Callithrix jacchus: one gene and its partners. The protein of the gene in region 3 purifies or fractionates together with the protein of the main gene of each other region. This does not show direct contact. Links are inferred from orthologs where the notes say so. Each region holds a gene or a part of one and is shown on either strand. Other genes may lie near its edges.

Evidence for each region.
Region 1: the proteins of SLC31A1 (region 3) and STX7 purify together in Homo sapiens (affinity purification with mass spectrometry; 3 studies listed by BioGRID and IntAct, counting the BioPlex papers as one, with this or other methods). This does not show direct contact. The link is inferred for Callithrix jacchus from reciprocal best matches to the Homo sapiens genes SLC31A1 and STX7.
Region 2: the proteins of SLC31A1 (region 3) and B3GAT3 purify together in Homo sapiens (co-immunoprecipitation; 3 studies listed by BioGRID and IntAct, with this or other methods). This does not show direct contact. The link is inferred for Callithrix jacchus from reciprocal best matches to the Homo sapiens genes SLC31A1 and B3GAT3.

Annotation. Positions count from the first base shown.
Region 1 is NC_133505.1:139,163,682-139,168,121, forward strand, and holds the start of STX7 (syntaxin-7), read right to left. Parts: upstream 2,867-4,440; 5' UTR 2,757-2,866; intron 1-2,756. UniProt on the Homo sapiens protein: May be involved in protein trafficking from the plasma membrane to the early endosome (EE) as well as in homotypic fusion of endocytic organelles. Mediates the endocytic trafficking from early endosomes to late endosomes and lysosomes.
Region 2 is NC_133511.1:119,887,148-119,889,850, reverse strand, and holds the end of B3GAT3 (galactosylgalactosylxylosylprotein 3-beta-glucuronosyltransferase 3), read left to right. Parts: intron 1-430; coding exon 431-791; intron 792-980; coding exon 981-1,271; intron 1,272-1,566; coding exon of another isoform or gene 1,567-1,567; intron 1,568-1,650; coding exon 1,651-1,749; 3' UTR 1,750-2,151; downstream 2,152-2,703. Other genes in the region: ROM1 (rod outer segment membrane protein 1), read right to left, coding at 2,595-2,703. UniProt on the Homo sapiens protein: Glycosaminoglycans biosynthesis. Involved in forming the linkage tetrasaccharide present in heparan sulfate and chondroitin sulfate.
Region 3 is NC_133502.1:161,534,546-161,538,865, reverse strand, and holds the start of SLC31A1 (high affinity copper uptake protein 1), read right to left. Parts: upstream 2,936-4,320; 5' UTR 2,791-2,935; intron 915-2,790; exon of another isoform or gene 649-914; intron 1-648. Other genes in the region: FKBP15 (FK506-binding protein 15), read left to right, coding at 3,227-3,279.

The DNA of each region.
Region 1 (4,440 bases), on a different chromosome or scaffold from region 3:
ACTACTCCCAGTTAAAATCAGATATACTGTAGAATCCTTAAGATTTCCATTTTGCACATATCTCATGCTCTATAAATCGAACCTGGGAAAAGAAATGGTCAATTTCACTTTCTTAATCATTAGCATCAGCATAAACAACTGGACCTCTCTGTATCCTCTACACCAAATAAATTTTGAGGGGTGGGGAGGTAGGCATTGTTTTGTCTGTTTTGTAGACTGTACTATTCTCAATGTCTGGCTACATCATAAGTGCTTAGTAAATATTTGTAGAATGAATGAATGTACCCACTTCCTAAGAAAACACACCAGCCTGAGGGTAAATGTTACCATTTCTAAAACATAAAATTCCAGTGCCTTCTTTCAGATCCTGAAGGTCCCAGGCTTCTTGCTGCCTTGGGCCTTTGTGGGGTACCATTTCCTATTTCTAGAAAGCTATTCTCATGATCTCCATGTGACTGGCTCCTTCTCCCCAGCAAGGCCTCATCACATGCTAGAGAAACCTTTGCGGCCACTCTGATCTGAAGTGAGAACTCACCACTGTCCACTCTTTGTCAATTTAACTTATTGCTTCACAATACTCAATAGCCTAATTAGTAGACTGTTTATTATTGATCCCTACACCTCTGGAATACAAATAGGAGCTACTTCTAGTATATAAACAGGAGAGAGATGACCTTGTTACCCTGTGTAATCTACAGTGCTTGGTGCATAGTAAATGCGCAAGCAATGTGAGGGTGCTCTGTCTATATAAGTATTCTCTGCACAAACTACATTAACTGCATTCTTTGGCCTTAGCTCTTCCATCCACTGAACTTTTGCACTACTTGGTTTTAGTTCAGAATCCTAAGGATTTTTTTTGTTCACACTTTCACACATGAAGCTTGCAAATTAAATGTAATTACATGAAACATAACTCAGACTTACTGTGGATATTTTCTATAATTTACTTTTCTTTTTTCCTTTTTTTTTTTTTTTTTTTTTTTGAGACAGAGTCTTACTCGTGGCCCAGGCTGGAGTACAATGGTGTGATCTTGGCTCACTGAAACCTCTGCCTCCCAGCTTAAAGCAATTCTCCTGCCTGCCTCAGCCTCCCAAGTAACAGAAATTACAGGAGCGGGCCACCATGTCTGGCTAATTTTTGTAAATTTAGTAGAGACGGGGTTTCACCATGTTGGCTTCGAAGTCCTGACCTAGTGATCTGCCCTCCTCAGCCTCCCAAAGTGCTGGGATTACAGGCATGAGCCGCTGAGCCCAGACTTTATAACTTACTTTTCAACCATCAGCACTTAAAAGTTTGGGGTCAAAATCAAAATGGGGATGACTTTGTTATCAAGAGCAATATAAGGGTGGGGCACGGTGGCTCACATCTGTAATCACAGTACTTTGGGAGGTAGAGGCCGGCAGATCATGAAGTCAAGAGATTGAGACCATCCTGGCCAACACGGGGCAACCCCGTCTCTACTAAAAATACAAAAATTAGCCCGGCATGGTGGCACTCGCCTGTAGTCCCAGCTACTCGGGAGGCTGAGGCAGGAGAATTGCTTGAACCCGGGAGGCAGAGGTTGCAGTGAGCCGAGATCCTGCCACTGCACTCCAGCCCGGCACCTGGTGACTGAGAGAGACTCTGTCTCAAAAAAAAAAAAAAAAAAGAGCAACATAAGTAACACAGCTGAGGAAAAATGATGATGTTAATGAGTTAATATGGTATCATATTAACCTCTGCAGAAACTGTGAAGTTAAGAGCATAATTCTTAACTAGTCACAGGTCTGAGGCCAACTTCTCCAAGTGGCCTACAAGGTCTGTCCACATCACAAGACACAATTTAACACCGTTATCAGCTTCTGCCCAGGTGTGCAGGTGTGCACCTGCAGAAGAAATGTCCACCTCCAACATTATTAAAAGCACAGCATTTCATAATTACTTCCTTTTCTTTCCAGATTCTGAGCAAGTTTTATATATAATTATAGTCAGAATACAATGATCTGATGTAAACAAAAATTAACCTAGATATAGATAAGAGCCAAGGAAATGTAAGAAATTTGTGGGGAAAAAACGCACAGCATTTGATCAGAAATGCAACTTTTTTTCTTTGTCTCAATTTAAAGAAAGGAACCTAGAAAACAAGGTGGAAGAAATATTTGAAACATTTTATGTATGTTTAAAGGTTTATATGTAAATTAATTAAAGGTGTATGCTAACAATGTCAAAGGAAGTATGTTAAAGTCATCAAGCCAAATAAAACACCACATACCATGAGCCACTCAATAAACATACACTGTTTGTTTGCTACAGCCATACATTTTTCGGTTCCTCTATATTCGGGAAATTTAAAGCGTGTTTTTCAATCCGTGAGCTGAAAAGAGGAAGAGGTCACTTGGTCGTGTCTGGATTCCTGAGCTGGGCCCCAGCCGGCCCTGGCGCCCGCCCCGGGGTGAGCTCAGTCGCCGGACGCCTCGGGAGTGCTGCCCAAGGATCGCGGCTGGTGCCGGGCTGGCCGGGCCCACCTGACCACAGCCGCGGGCGCCAGGAATGCGGAACTCGCCGCGTCCCTGCACCCGGCCGGGGGGCGTGTGGAGCCGCGGGCGCTCGGGGAGCCCGGGCAGCCCGGCCCTTTCTCGCCTCCCGAGTGCCAGCTGCAGAGCGCAGGGCGGCGGCCACCAGACCACACGCACAAACAAGGAGGCGCAGGAACCGCAGGCGCACCGCGCCTCCCTGTCGCCTGGCCAGGGAGCTCCCCTCCCCAGGGTCCTCTTACCTGGAACTCAGCAGCTCCCTCCTACACCACTAGCCACCGTCACCCACCTACCCCGGAGACTTCAGTAGCAATTATCAGCTGATGGGCGGTGGCGTGGGGACGCCCAATGCGCATGCTCACAGCACAGCACCAGGAAGAAGGCGGGGCTCATCCCTTTCCTATTGGCCCAGGGGGCTGAGTGACAGCAGCCCTCACCGCCCCCTCCAGTTTCAAGCTAAGGAATGGGGGTATCAGCAAAATTGCAGGGGAGCTGTCCTACGAAGTCTGACGTAGAAATGGTGAACGCCTCTTAGCTTGCGTGCAAAAAAGCAGAGGACGGAATGGAGTATAGTTGTCTTCTTTATCTGGTGAAGATAGCCTCCCGGCACGCGGGTCTTCACCCCGCCCCATTAGCTCTTGCCTATCTTGTTAGCTGACCTTTAACTCTGCAGTAGATCGCGTTCACAACTCCATCGAGAAATGCAAAAGCGAATACACAGTCTTAGCAGGAACAATGAAGGAATAAGTGAAGAGTCTTCTCTGGGTGCTCATTTAGTAAACAAGTTTTCCTAGCACATACAAGTCATTCTAAGCATTCCTGAAAAGCAGGGCGTAGTTTTCACAGGGTTTAAAACAAGCAGAGATGGTTCCAGTGATAAATATCCAAATATATTGTAATTATTAGATGAAAAGCATCAATTGCTACAAGTGAAAGAAAGCCCTCACCAAATTAATTAGAAGATAGATTGGCTTAACCTTTGCCTATTTTCTAAAAGAATCACCAGGATACGTGACATCAAAAGTCCAGATGCACTTAGGTGGGAAAAAAAGCAAAACCCAGGATAAAATTCTTGCTGAAACTCACCACACTAATTGTGTAATGTTATCTATTTAAGAGAGATTGACAGAGAAAGAATAACCGTGAAAGGGAGTAATCCACAAGACAGGAAATAAACCAGAAAGGGAGTAATCCGCAAGACAGGAAATAAACCAGGAAATAGAGAATGAAGGAAGAAAAGAAGGCATGGTCTATGATTGTCACCTGTCACAGAAAGTTCAAGAAATAAAGAACTGAAAGTGGTGCAGTTTTTGAGAATTAGGAAGTGGCTGGTGAAATTAGGAAGAGACATTTCAATCATTGAAGGAACTCATGAAAGGATCCTACATCCGTGTGAGATTTAGTGCACTTTCCAAATATCCGTTCATATTACCTTTAATAGAACTCTGGGCTCGGGGAGGGGAAGGGACAATACGCTAAAGAAGAACCTGAGGTTAAGTGGCCTCTTCAAGTTGCCCTGATAGTTACTGACTCTGCTGGTACCAAAACTTAGCTGTCTGAGCCCTCGTCCTGGGCTCATTCCAATTTCTTGTTTTAAAATATGCTATGAGTGAATTCCATTCAGGTCTTTTGAAAACTTAAGAGTAAGATTTCATCTCTTGGTATTCAAATAAATAAATAAAGAATTACAGTCTAGACAACCTTGCAATATTTAGAAGTATTAAGATAAATGAATTACAAAGGATTCCTGACATACAGTATTTTATCTAATCTGGCTGCTGCCAAGTTAAATTCAGCCAGGTGCCTTGAATCCATAGGGCTTAAAAAGTCTCCCAATTTGATGTGATAATGTCACATCTCCCAAAATAAATCCTTTCCATGTGCAGAAGTTACCTATGACTGAAGGCTTGTAATTTAGATTTTCAG
Region 2 (2,703 bases), on a different chromosome or scaffold from region 3:
CCTCTTGAGTAGCTGAAATTACAGGCACATGCCACTATGTCCAGCAAATTTTTCTATTTTTTTTAGTAGAGATAGGGTTTCACCATGTTGGCCAGGCTGGTTTGGAACTCCTGACCTTAGGTGATTCACCTGCTTCAGCCTCCCAAAGTGCTGGGATTACGAGTGTGAGCCACTGCACCTGGCCCTGTGCCCATAATTTATAGTCTCCCTTAGCCAGAGCTCTGGGGTTGAGGTGAGGGATGGACATGAACTGGAAGAACAGGGCAGGTTAGTGTTAGCATGAAGTTGACAGGCAAGAAAGGGAGTTTAGGCATTGGTTGGGAAAGACCATGGGAGATATATGCAGTGGCCCAGGTGAAGCTGTCTGCCCTAGCTGGAGTGGGCAAATGGTGCCTACCCTTTTCTCTCGTGCTGCATCTCTCCCCTGCAGGCTGGTACAGAAGGCAGAGCTGGTACGGCTTTCCCAGACACTGAGCCTGGTGCCCCGGCTACATTGGCTGCTGGTAGAGGACGCTGAGGGTCCCACCCCACTGGTCTCAGGGCTGCTGGCTGCCTCTGGCCTTCTCTTCACACACCTGGTGGTCCTTACGCCCAAAGCCCAGCGGCTTCGGGAGGGCGAGCCTGGCTGGGTTCGTCCCCGTGGTGTAGAGCAGCGGAACAAGGCCCTGGACTGGCTCCGGGGCAGAGGGGGAGCTGTGGGTGGGGAGAAGGACCCACCACCACCAGGGACCCAGGGAGTTGTGTATTTTGCTGATGATGACAACACCTACAGCCGGGAGCTGTTTGAGGAGGTGAGCATGAGGATGGGGATGGGCAAGAGGCCAGGCGTGGCCAGCTGCATTCATTACCTTGGTTAGCAGTGTTGCCGTTGGCTGCTAGGTGAAAGGCTGGAAGCAGTGGGCAGAGTGAGCCAGGTGGCTCTTTCTGCTGCTCCCTTCCCCAGACCACTCCTCTGTTTCTTCTCTCCCAATCTCCAATAGATGCGCTGGACCCGTGGTGTCTCAGTGTGGCCTGTGGGGCTGGTGGGCGGCCTGCGATTTGAGGGCCCTCAGGTCCAGGATGGCCGGGTTGTGGGCTTCCATACAGCATGGGAGCCCAACAGGCCCTTCCCTGTGGATATGGCTGGATTTGCTGTGGCCCTGCCCTTGCTGTTGGCTAAACCCAATGCCCAGTTTGATTCCACCGCTCCCCGGGGCCACCTGGAGAGCAGTCTTCTGAGCCACCTTGTGGATCCCAAGGACCTGGAGCCACGGGCTGCCAACTGCACTCGGGTAAGGGAATGGAGGTGGGCACAGAAACCTGGCTCTGGGACGGACAGGTTTTGGGGAGGTGCAGTGAGACCCTGGGAATGGGTGGTTTAACCAGGAGGGACTCTCCAGATCTCTGATCAGCCTTGCTGACTCTACTAAAGGGGAAGCTGGGAACCAGGGAGGGAAAGTGGTCTGCTGCTACTCCGTCCCTGAGTCCGGGAACCCATGTGGCACAGAGAGGATGAAGGAATAGGTCCGTTTTAGAGGCACTAAGTCTTCCTCCACACTGCCCTTTATACTTTGAATATGTGGAGAGGGTTAGAGAATCCATTCCAGCCTAAGGGCCCCAGAGGCCTGCCTGCCGCTGGGTCTGGCTCTCATCGCTTCCCTCCTGGCACAGGTACTGGTGTGGCATACACGGACAGAGAAGCCCAAGATGAAGCAGGAGGAGCAGCTGCAGCGGCAGGGCCGGGGCTCAGACCCAGCAGTTGAGGTGTGATGGCCCCACCCCAACTCCCACCTCTTTTCAGGCACAGACCTTGTGGGACTGGGCCCCGGGCCTGCCCAGGTTGTGGCTTTCCAAGTCCTGACCCTTCAGAGCCAGAAGTGGCCCCTCTGCCCCTCCAGGCCCACGGCATGGCCCTGCTGCTTTGCCCCTCCCCCGGCCTGCCGTGTGGCACTGCCCACAGGCTGGGGACAAGCAGCCCTTGTATTGAGCCAGGTCAGCCCTGTCTAGGGTGGGGTAGAAGGACAGACGGACTCAAGAGGGAGGGCAACTGAGTAACTGGGTAACTTATTGGGGCTGGGCATGCACTAGGGGGCTGGAGGAGCTGGGCTGGACTCTCCCCACCTGAGCATGCTGATCCCTTCCTACCTCCAGAATAAAGAATCTCAACCTGGAGGGCCTCTTGTTTTCCTTTCCTTCTTACATTGGGTTGTCGCTTTCTGATCCTGCTCTGCAGAGGTCAAGCCAGGGTCCAAACTTTGGAGTCCTGGCTGCTCCATCAGACAGAAATCAGTTCTCCCAGGCCCCCATCCCCCTGAAAGAAAAAGCAGTTGCTTCCATCCAAAAACTTTATTGAGTTTGTACCAGAATCCATCTCCAGGCCTTCCCATGTCACTTTCCCATCACTCTGTTCTTGGTGGTGGTTCCCTGGTGGTTCTGGCTACAAGGGCTAGGCCTTAGGATATCTGGTTTTCTTTCTTACCCTAGTCCAGCTCACTGACTATCCTTAACCCTTCTAATCCCGGGATTTCCCTCCCCAACCTGGAGCCTTGGTAAAGAGTTGTGAGGTTTCCAAACTTGTCCATCCCTCCCTTTTCCCCACCCCAAGCTCCAGGCCCCTAGGCCTCAGAAAGATCCTCCTTGAGAGGTGCCTCTCCTGGTGGGGCCTCCTCAGGTGCTGGCCTGTGGGCAATCCATCCCTGTAGCCATGCTGTTTTCAGCATCTCT
Region 3 (4,320 bases):
AGTCCTAGACAATTCCTAACAAATGGGCAAGGCTGTGTTCCAATAAAGCTTTACTTATAAAAACAGGCAATAGGTTCCTACACTCCAAGAAAAGGCTGAGGCCTTGTGTTAAAAGAATGGCAAAAGAATGTTTATGTGTTCATTAAAATGTTTATGATATGCATGTAACTATTATCTGTATGATTCCTGCTTTAACTTACTACTTCGGTTAACCAACTAAAGGCCCTAAAAGTCTGCTTCCAGTGACTGAGTAAATAGAATGTTATCGATCTGCATTTAATTCATATCCCTACGGTCTATGCATTTAATTCATATCCCTATCACTATACCTGATATAACCTGGTTATATCTTTAAACTATTAATTTTAAAATGCATTCATCAGTACCGATTAGTATGGGTATACTTGTATATAAAGACTGTCATCTCTGTTGCAAAACTGAGGATAATTTGAAAATAATTATTAAATTTGCTGCTTCCCTGAGGGAGGAAGGTGGGTGGAGGGTGGAGAAAAATAATTGCTGCTTCCTGGCCAATCTTCAAGGGGTCAACAATACATTTATGAATATTCTAAAAGTTGTATACTTAAGCAAAACAAATAAACATAAATGCTTAATTTAAACTTGAGATCAAGGTTGTGCCTTACTTACCTTTGTATCTCCAGCTCTTACTCAGTAGAAGTCTGGGTCTAATCCACTCCTTTTACAGTGTTTAGGGAGCCTGGCCCAAACTCAGAGTGAGTTAGAAGGGCTGGGACAGGAATTCAGATTTCCTGATTCCTAGTCCAATATTACCAATCTGAAGATAAACGAATTTAGGAAGACAGTGGCTTTTTTTTTGTTGTTCTTGTTGTTGCACTCACTCAGTCCTGCAGTTCAAAGCCTGGGGAAGTCTCACCATCATCTTCCTCCTCATACTGCCAACAAGAATCAGCAGCTGTGTTTCCACAGTGATAACTGGGGTATGCATGTTTAATGTTCAATCACCAATAAGGCTATTGATTTTAGAGTTTCTGAGTACCCACAAAAGCCACTTTACTTAAACATCCAGGATAAAAACAGTTCCTCCCAAGAATACAAGATAAGAGTTCAAACGTTCCCTTGGGCATTTTTTAAATAAAAACACCATCTAGATGTTTCAGTACTGCAGTCACAGCCAGTATTGGGGAGGGGGGTTAGAAAGTGCCATGGTACTTAATCCAGTTATTCCCTCAACACCTCCAAGAGGTAGCCAAGTTCACACACTAAACAGTGATTGCAACAGCTCTAGTGCTCGTGCTTATTAGAGGCGTTTCAGTTCCAATTTTAGCACTTGGATCCCAGTTGCATTATTGCAACTGTGAACGTTAACTGCTTTAACATCTTAATCTACAAAATAAACATGAGAAGCAGACTAACAGCTCTATCCTCAGTTAAAGAGAGGAATAATTTCCTTATGAAAATTATAGTTACATATAATATTTCTAGCTTTCTTATTCCCCTGTTCCCCCTCCCCTGGAGCTTTAGACAATAGTACAATCATCTTCGATTAACAAAAGAGATTAAACAACCCAGATAGCTCACAGCTAGTACAGCATTTTTATCTTTCTGGGAGCTACCTATGAAAGGCAAGAACTAACGCTAGGCTGGGTCACACGGGAAAAAGAAATCCTAAGATTGTAAATCAAGGAACAAGGGAACAAGGATGAATTTCATTATTCAGCCTAATAAAAATTAATAAGAACCTATTATATAGGCAAGAAGGTTTACAATTCAGTAGTATGCAAACTATAATAAAAAATAGAACAGGGCAAGTGCCAGGAGGTGCAAAGTTCTCTGGGAGGGAGCTACCAATCACTTCGCTTCAATTTCATACTGACAGATTGAAACATTCAGGTAAGGGACACCTGTAGTACCAACCTGACTGTGAGGGGAAGCCCAAGAACTCCACTGAGTCTGTGGAAATGGATGCTACACTGGGACACTATCTCCTTAGCCACACCTTGGCTAAGCCAGGACTATCCCAGGATTGTTTTGAGATACGAGGTTAACCAAAGAAATATTTATGTGAACTACAGACAGGGTGGAAACTGGAGGTAGAGGAGTCCGCCACAATTGATGTTGATTTAGGACTATCGCAGAAAGACCCAGCGAAATCTACGCCAAGGTTGGTCTGGGGATATGTCTGCCTCCAAAGTATCCTCCTTTCCATCACCCACCCCCAGAATATCCTAGATCTTCTGCACCTCACCTGAGTAGAATACAGGTGGACTCTAGAAGGGGAACTTTCCTCGAGGTGCATGTTACAGTCTTTCAGTAGCCATTCTGTAAGGGCACCCAGTGCTTAAGGGCTAGCAAGGTTCTTGTTAACTCACGAGCTCACTATATCCTGAATCAAAGAACGAGAAATCCAATCTCAGTCTGCCCTTTACTCCTTGTGAACTCCGACTAGTCACCCGGGGGCTTAGTTCCTTCGTTTCCCTATCTGTAAATTCTGAGATTACAAGGAGACCGGGATTGACTTCGATGGCCTCTGGGCTCTAAAAGCTTCTAGACCAGCCGGCACATGGAAGCACTCGACAAATGGCCAGTTGCATAGACGGGGAAACTGAGGCACCGAGCACCCCGGACCAAGGTCACTCTAGCTATGCCCCTACAGAGGCCGTGCCGAAGCCCAGGTCTTCAGCCCTCCAGACCCGAGCTCTTTCTCCTTCCGCCGAACTGAGGAGAGCGGCGAGAAGGGTCCTTGTCCCGCTGGGGAAAGGAGGGTACCCATACACAGGGGTGCGACAGAGGGACCGAGAGAAGCCTTACCTTTCCAAGTCGAGTCCAGCCACTAGCACTTGTCTCTGCGAATCTTAACTCGTCACCCCCTCGCGACTCCTCGACTGGCCCCTCCACTTCTGCCCGGCTCGACGTGTCCACGACCGCCGCCGAGGCCGAGGATTCCCTCCCCTTCCCCGCCCCCTTGCCTTACCAACCAATCCCTCCACGGGGCTATGAAGCTCCGCCCCCCTGCGGGCTGAAGAGGCCTGACGTCACGCGGCGCGCGTGCTCGCGCGAGCCTCTCATTTGCCTTTTTGCCCCACCTTCTCCGGAGCCTAGTCGGCTTTCGGCCCAGAGACCGTGCGGAGTTCATCCTGCCGGAAAGCAGCACGCTACCGCGGCATTTTACAACGTCGGCGGTGACAGGCCCTGGGATGCTGGGAACACGCAGCTTCCTCCCTGCTCTTCGGTGAAATCCTACGCAATGTTCGGTTCTGGGGACGAGGACGACACCGATTTCCTCTCGCCCAGCGGCGGGTGAGTGACTGAGAAGTGTGCGCTGGAGGGCGTGGCTGAGAGATACCAGCAGATTGTTGGAGGGGGGTCGATCTCTTCTCAGGCCTTTTCCCAACTTCCGGGTGCAGACCTTTGCCACATTCCGGTGCTCTACACCTCTGAGAATCTGGGCAGAGCTTGCAACTGTGCTGACTCTGCAGATCTGAGGTTCGGGACCCGGCATCTCTCTTGGCGCGAAGATAACCCTGGGGTTTGCCTTTGCTTTCTGGGTCACAATTTCTCTGGTGAGATAGGAATGATTGCTGATGAGACTTCCTGCCTCAGAGTTTTTGTAGTAGTTAGCTGGGACTGACATGAGACTTTCTCTTCTCAGTGGAAAAGGCTATGACACTTTAGAACCAGGCCCTGGTGGGTCAGCTCTAGCATTCTTCAAGGCCCAGCTCGGATGTCACGTTTTCGGTGCTTTTACTTCTGCAGCCTGAGGCAGAATAAATTGCTTTCCCTTCCTTATTCCTACAGCTCGGTGTGTTCGCCTCTATTCTTGCACCCCGAACCTCTTAGATTAAGATTCCTCACAGGACAGGGACTGCTTATGTTGTTCATCTCTGTCTAGCACTCAGCATGGTAACTGGCACATAGTGAGTGCTCAAGAAGTGCCTGTTGAATGAATGATAGCTGCGAAATTGCACTTTGTAAATTTTAAAGCTTAAAACCAACATAACAGACTTCGTCATTCTCCAGTTTTCCAAGCATTGTATTAATACATTCCAGCCCAGGATCGAAATCTTTAAAGAAAGGCAGGGTTTTGTCTCTTTCAGTAGTCAGTTTAGCCTTTTCTGTTGTGTTGTTCCAGTGGACAGCTTGACTTCCTTCAAACTCTTGAGAGACACCAAGCTGTGATCATTGCAAGCTTTGAACATCTGCTTAACAAATTTTGTGCACGCTGAAGAATGTACTGGAAAAACGACAAATACACCACATATGCTCCTTATTCTGCTAAATGCTAAGAGGTTACAAAAATGGTTAAGCTGCTGTGCCTGCCGTTAAGTTGCTTCCCCATTT